Linked DNA regions of Callithrix jacchus. The protein of the gene in region 1 interacts with the protein of each later gene in a pairwise test. Links are inferred from orthologs where the notes say so. Each region holds a gene or a part of one and is shown on either strand. Other genes may lie near its edges.

Region 1 (3,747 bases):
AATTTTTGTATTTTTAGTAGAGATGGGGTTTCTCCACATTGGCCAGGCTGATCTTGAACTCCTGACCTCCCATGATCCACCCGCCTTGGCCTCCCAAAAGGCTGGTATTACAGGCTTAAGCCACCACATCTGCCCTATATTTTGTATTTTTTTAGTAGAGACGGGGTTTCCCCATGTTAGCCAAGCTGATCTCCAATTCCTGACCTCAGGTGATCCGCCCATCTCGGCCTCCCAAAGTGCTGGGATTACAGGCGTGAGCCACTGCACCTGGCCCATTGGGTTAAGCGTATTAAAAGAAGGCTGGGAGCAGTGGCTGATGCCTGTAATCCCAACACTTTGGGAGGTTGAGGTGGGCAGGTCACTTGAGGTCAGGAGATCCAGATCAGCCTGCCCAACATGGGGAAATCCTGCCTCTACTAAAAATACAAAATTTAGCTGGGTGTGGTGGTGCGTGCCTGTAATCCCAGCTTCTTGGGAGGCTGAGGCAAGAGAACTGCTTGAATCTGGGAGGCAGAGGTTGCAGTGAACCAAGATTGTTCCATTGCACTCCAGCCTGGGCAAAGAGCAAGACTCTGTCTCAAAAATAAATAAATTAATTAAATAAAATAAATAAAACAACCCAGTGATGGAGGTCCTAATATCTCTATTTTATAAGTGAGGAAACTGAGGCAGAGAGAGGTCAAGTGTTTTGTTTAAGGTCACAGAGAGAGTAAATGGTGGGAATTCATATAAACCCAGGCAGTCTGGCTCCAAGTCCATACTCTCAATCAATATTATACTATCTGTCTCTGCAGTTGGCATTAATAGTTTGTTGAATTGAAGAGTATTCGCTTTCCAGTTGCTGAAACAACTTCAGCCTGGATTCCACCCATGGCTGGGTAAGGAAGGGTTTGGCAACCCCAGTTAATTGTGGTCTGTTCTTTGAAGCACCACCTTGCTGCTTCTACTCTATTCTGCCTCAGCAGAGATAGGAAAAGGTCCCAGATAGTAAAAAGTGAAATCCTGCCAACTAGCCCATCCCTCCTCCAACTCTACCACCCCATTCCCAGAGGACCCAAATGGGCAGGTTGCTTAAGTGTCTGAGTAAGACCTAACCATCTTCCCATCTGGTCTACAGCTCTGACAGCTGGAGCACATAGGAGAGCAATGACCCTGGCCTTTGGCCCTAAAGTAGTTTCTACCATAGGCCCAGTTTCCGCTACAACTTCACTTGCCCCTTCTTCCCAGAATGTCAAGTTGTCCAAAGCTTGTAAGGCAAAGGGTATGGAGGCCCCCAGGTATTCCCAACCAATAAAGGAGAATAAACATCAATATGGCGGCATCTAGAATAAACACCCTATCTTTTGTTCCAGCTTGGGGGCTTAGTGCCGTGGCATCATCCAGGTTCTCCTGCCTCTTTGCTTCTGGTTTTCCTTTGTCCCAGGGTGTCCTCCCATTAGGAGCCCTGGCACAGGGCTGTGACGGCCACAATCAGTTGGCCCACTGGAGTGTGGCTCTGGCGCAACTGTCCTGGAGCAGCTGCAAGGCACCTGCCCTTTGGATCCTAACCCAGCCACCTTCTGCCAGGCTGGGGAAGAGCAGCGTGCATATACTAGGCTGGACAAGGAGGGGGAGCATGGGGATGACCAGGGAGGTGCCCAGTGGGAGGCAGGGGGTAGCTGAAGCAGACGTCCTTTCACACTTCCTGCTCTTCTGTTTCCTGTGGCCCAGAATTTGATTGGGGTGCAGGAAATTGTGCCAAATCAGCAGTCCCTTTGGTCCATCTGTCCCACTCCCTGAACCACATAATGGAAATCTGGGGCCTCCCACAAGTCAGCAACTTCCCCTTTCTCTGGGGTGTTTAAACCCTAATCCAGGACACCGATTATTTCTCTGATCATCTCTTTCTGATACTCGTTTACTTGATGCACAGAAATCCAGGTTCTCATACTCCATAGGTTGGAAGTGGGGTCGACATGATGTTTTGCAGAGCAAGCAAGAGCTCAGGACCAATCCCCATTCCTGAGCCCCTCTGGGTTGAGGCCTACAGCCCCAACCTTTTCGCCTTTTGCTCCTGCTCCCCGGGACTCAGGCATTCACCCCTTGCCCCTTGGGGGTGTTGAGTCACAACAGGAAGTGGATTTTGCTAGAGACCAAAAAAGAGAACTCAGGGTGTCAGTGGAAGGAAAGAGCCTCGATTGCACAGAAAACATCCGGGGAGTGGACGCGTGCCCAGGGTGAATACTGCCTCCACAACCCACAGAGAGAGGGATACGATCCAGTTTCAGGGAGGGTCGCCACACACACGGCTCCCCCAAGATGAAGCTGTTGCTCCTGGCAACCCAGGGAAAGGTAGAAGTTTGGATGAGGAGCCGCTCGGCCTTGGGACAGGTGTGGTCAGCGCAACTGCCTGGGGGATATTGGACTGGAGGCTTTCCATTGGCTTGGAACGAGTCTAGAGGTGATCCCCCCTTCCGGCATCCAGCCTCCGGTACACGACCCCTCAGGGCCAGCCACCTGCTCCTCCTTCCTCTGTCCCTGCAACGCAGCCTGCACCGGAGAGCCCAGTAGTCCAGCCCCACATCCCTGCGAGAACCCCGACACCGGTTTTCTCATCCCCCGCTCAAGCCTCGCTTTCTGCAGGGGCCCGGGCATTTCCCCCCCACCATTATCCTCGAAGACCTGCGCGTGCGGCCCCGGATGGCTGCCCCTAGGGACCCAGGTGTCCGGCCCCCAGATCCTCTCCGCTGTGTCCTCGTCTGGGACCGTACCAGCACCCGCCCCGAGCCACCGCCCATACCCTGCCGCGTGGCCCCACCTCCCTTACCTGGTGCCGGGTTTCTCCCCCATGGTGCGCGCGCCCGCCGCCCGCTCGGTTCGCGGCTGGCTCGCAGCCTCCTCGCCCGCTGCCAAGATCCCTGCTCCTCCCCGCACCACTGCGCACGCGCGCCCTCCGCGCTCTAGCCTCTTCCCCTCCCTCCCGGCCCGGCTCTGGTCCGGGGGAACCGGGGCCAGATGCGTCAGCCGGATCGCGCGCGCCGCGGCGCAGCCCGCCCTCTCCTAGCAGACACTCGCGCCCATTGGCTCCGCCCCCAGCCTTTCGCGCTGCGTCCCAGGGGGCCCGCTCCCCCTCTTCCCGCCCATCTCCCCGCCCCACCGCAACCCCTTGGAAACCGATTGGACCTCCTTAAACCAATGCACCCGCCTTCCAGGGGATCGAAGTCTTTCGATTGGCCCTGGGCATCCAAAACCTGCAGGGGGTCTCCTCCCTTTGGTTTGCTTTCTCTGTGGCGGCGGGGGCGACGGGGATGTTGGGGCTGCTGGAATGAGCTGGAGAGCCGTCTAAGAAGGAGGAAAGAGGGGATGCACACGTGGGTGAGCGGTTCAGTTACGTGATGCTTGCTTCAGTGCGCGCCGCTCGTCCGCTCGCCTCGGAGCGTGCCGCTTTCTGTGGCCCGGCCTCCCACATCTTTACTGCAGTTTGTCAGCTCCCTCTGATGTCTACATTTGATCTTTGCAGGGTTCCCTGTTCCAATTTCTCTATCAGTCTCCTTCAGCCACTCATCCCAGGTAACATCCACTCACTCTCTCCCATCCACACCCATCTATCAACCCATCCATCCATGCCTATTTTTATTTTTCTTTTATCTAAGTTTTCTTGTCGCCTAGGCTAGAGTGCAGTGGCACGATCTCGGCTCACTGCAACCTCTGCCTCCGGGGTTGAAGCGATTCTTCGGCCTCAGCCTCCCCAGTAGCTGTGATTACAGG
Region 2 (3,747 bases), on another chromosome or scaffold:
TCCAGTCATGCCTGAACAGAAAAGAGCTAGGTAAACTGGTAAGCATGGGGCTAGTGGGCAGGAGCTCCCATTAAGCAGCCAAAACACGTAAATGTGAGGGGTCACTATTTTTGTCCCTGTAACAAATTCAAAAGCAAAATACAGCAACTCTCAGTTATCTGTTTGAAAGGGCACTGTGGCAGCACACATAAAATGACAGCAGACATGCATCATGCATTTAAACTATGAGTTTTAAATTCCTTCTCAGCTAAGTATTTTTCCTGGGCTTTGGGGAAGGAGCAGATTAAACTTGTCTTCCTTATTTCCCCCTAGGGTAGGAGAAAGTTAGTCATTAGTATTAATTAGTCATAGTCGAAATAACAACAGCCGTCCTAAGTAGCAGGAGGAACAAAAAACCAAAACAAAATTATATACACACATACACACACAACTCTGACCCCAAACTCAAAAGAAAAAGAAAACTGAGAAAAGTGTTCAGCCCACAAATTTGTCCTTTTTTGAATACTGACCCAGGGTAAGAGAGAAAAAGATTTAAACTTAGAATGCTGTGGGACAGGAGCATTGCCACAGCACCGATGACTGAAAGACATTTTTGCAAATTGCAAGGGAGACAAGTCTTCCATTGGCATCAGTGGAACCAGTGAAAGAAAACCAGTTTTCTTCTGAGTTGGATGATGGAACAGTTCATTCAGTTTAAGGTCAAAGAGCAGAACCAGAAATCAAGGCCTCAGGATGGGAGTAAAGAACAATGCAGTCAGAGGAAAAAAGGTGCAGGGCGGGGCGGGGCGGGGGGGGTGTGGCAGGGGGAGGGCAGGTGGAGACAGAGTGGATAACAGACTTGAAACTAAGAATCACAAAACTTAAGCAGATGTTGAGACTTAGCAATTATGATTGGCAGTTTCTATAACCTAGCCTTAAGCTTAGACTTTTATTTTAAAGCAATCACCAGAAAAAAATTAAAAGAAATTACGGAATTATATCACTGGAGGGGATCTTATGGGCAGAGACTTGAGGTTCACAGTTGTTAAATAATGCTCCTGCTATCACACAGCCAGTTAAGTGGGAGTCTCCATTTCCCTTCTCCCCATGCTTTCCTGACCCTACACTGTCAAGAAGGGTGGTGGAGAGGAAGGAAGGTACCAGGGCATCACTACGGAATACATCACAGCCTGAGAACAGGCTATGCACGTGGGGCCTTTATAGCTAGGGAAACACCAGAAAAAAACAAGGGCAGTATGGCAGTTTCTTTCTTAGAGAAGACTTGTAAGGGGGTTAAAGAATATGCTATGGGAAATAAACACCTGGAGAGCCAAGATCCTTAGGTGGTAACTAACAAGAGAATCGTGTTGGGATACAGCACCTTCAGGAGGAAGCATAAGTTTCTCAACAAAGTAATAAAGTAGATCAGTAGGGTGCCGAATTTCCTGCCTCTTACTGTTACTTTCTCTTCTCAGAATGACACAGGAAATAAATGTAGTCAAGTCCCAAATTTGATCCTAGGGGAAAGTGAGCACCCAAACTTTCATTAAGAGAAGGCACCTGAGGGCTGGGAGTAGGTTTTTAATACTTAACGAGGCTATTAGCAAACGAAGAGAAAAGGTCCAGGTGAGTTCAACAGCCAGGTCACAAGTGGTAGCCCTAAAAGCAGTGCAGAAGGAGACGCTTGGAAGAATTGCTGCTGTCTTCGAGGGGGCTCTAGCAGGCTGGTACTGTGAAGACGTTAACCTGGACATTTAAGAAAATTGGAGGATGGAGTGAAGTGCCGAGCGGTGAGTGAGCAGTGGCCTGCCAGAGGCTCTGTTTAGTCCTGGAAGCCAGAAGACCTTTTGCTAAAATCCTGTTTCAGTTACACATACACACAGGCTAAGGCTGTAGGGATTGGGGTGTGGAGACCTCCTGCTTCTCCTTCCTCAGTTTGATCATTCAAAGGGCATCTGGGAAGCCTGAGGGTGGGAGAGGTTGGCCCAGGTTGGAGTAACGTCCCGTGTCTAGGACCTACCGCTATGGTTTGTAGGGAGAGAGGTAAGGGGAGGTGAGCCGTGCTGGGACATTGTCTGGGAAGCAAAGGGCATGGATGGGGACACTCTTAACTTCGCCTCAAAAGTAGCACAACTTTCAAACGAACGCTCTGCAGAGTTATATTGGCTTCCCACTCAGATGATGGCTAAAAGACAAGAGTTAACTAAAAGCCTCAGGAAGAAAGTTTATTGAATTGTAAATTATTTCTGTAGATTTCTTGCTTGCACGTGGAAGACTTTGGTCAAAATGGGATTGCGAATTTCAGGGCAGGTAGCAAACAAACCCCCCTTGTTCCCTCCCATTCCAGAAGCCCCTCACCTGATTTGGGGAAGTGTGGCCAGCTCCAGGGGCAGGCGCTGACCAGAACTACGGTCGCTCTTTCCTTGGTCACCGAAAACCTCCCAGCATAGAGCTAGCAGTTAGGACACCGTGACATAAAACTTAGCACCCCACGCCTGTAGTCCCCCAAGCAAGCCCGGCGGTCGGCGCGGACTCACCCGCGCCCCGGGCGCTGCGTCACGTCCCGCCGAGGGCCGGCTGCGCTGGTGCGGGTCTCCACCGGCAGCCTCGGCGTCCCGGCTGTGCGCCCTCACTCGCTGGGTCCGCTCCAGCGGCTCCCCATCGATCACCGCCCCGGCCCGGCAGAGCTGCTGGCGGCACGCCGGTCCAGACGTCCTGTCACTCGGTGCCTGGGGTTCTGGCTGTCAGGAGCAGGAATCATCCGCGAGGAGACAGCTCCGAATTTATAGTGAGGGGCGTTGCTGCTTCTTGGGTTCCGGGGACGAGGCTCTGTTTTGCATTCCCTCCTCCTCCGCCCCGCCCCGGGAGACCCTCCCGGCCCAACCTCCTCCCTCTTAGGATACTGACGGCAGCAAGGATGCCACAGTGGTCCCGTGTCAGCTATCAGATCAGCGTTCACCTGGCCCCGAACCCCGCCTAGCGAGGGGTCGTGAGGGAGAGTGAGCTGGGGGTACAGGAGTATCCTTTCCGGCGGAGATTTATGTTCCTCAACATTTTTTTTTTTTTTTGAACTTGGAAAACTTTTAAGGACAAATTAGGGAACTTCTTTCTCTTTCCTACGAGTAATTTGAATTTGGTAATACCGTTGTGGATCATAGATTACATGGATTAATTCCAGGGTTATGAAATTGAAGGGTGGACAATCATTTCCCCCTATCGGACACGCTACCTAAGTTGCATTTTTAAAAAATGTATTTTAAAACACCCAACAAATATTTAAAGAAGGAATAATATAAATTCTTCGCAAACTCTTCCAAAAAATAGAAGAGTAAGAATGATTTCGCAACTCATGTTATGAGGCCAGTATCACCCTGATATCAAAACTAAAGACATCACGAGAAGACTACAGATCAACATTTCTTATGAGTATAGATAAAAATTCTCAACAACCCCATCTCTACTAAAAATATACAAAAATTAGCTGGGCGTCGTGGCGCGCACCTGTGGTCTCAGCTACTCAGGAGGCTGAGGCAGGAAAATTGCTTGAACCCAGGAAGCGGAGGTTGCGGTGAGCCGAGATCGTGCCACTGCACTCCAGCCTGGCCCCTGGCGACGAAGCGAGACTCTGTCTAAAGAAAAAAAAAAAATTCTCAAAATGCTGACAAACTGAATCCAATAATGAATAAAAGGATTATACACCGTGGTCAAGCGAGATTGATGCCAGAAAGCAGTATTCGTTTACCAAAAATCAATTAATGTTTGATAGGT

Evidence for each region.
Region 2: the proteins of ARRB2 (region 1) and AGTR1 interact in a two-hybrid assay, tested with the Homo sapiens proteins (2 studies listed by BioGRID and IntAct, with this or other methods). The link is inferred for Callithrix jacchus from reciprocal best matches to the Homo sapiens genes ARRB2 and AGTR1.

Annotation. Positions count from the first base shown.
Region 1 is NC_133506.1:106,268,550-106,272,296, reverse strand, and holds the start of ARRB2 (beta-arrestin-2), read right to left. Parts: upstream 2,920-3,747; 5' UTR 2,830-2,919; coding exon 2,807-2,829; intron 1-2,806. UniProt on the Homo sapiens protein: Functions in regulating agonist-mediated G-protein coupled receptor (GPCR) signaling by mediating both receptor desensitization and resensitization processes.
Region 2 is NC_133518.1:36,555,093-36,558,839, forward strand, and holds the start of AGTR1 (type-1 angiotensin II receptor), read right to left. Parts: upstream 2,739-3,747; 5' UTR 2,517-2,738; intron 1-2,516. UniProt on the Homo sapiens protein: Receptor for angiotensin II, a vasoconstricting peptide, which acts as a key regulator of blood pressure and sodium retention by the kidney.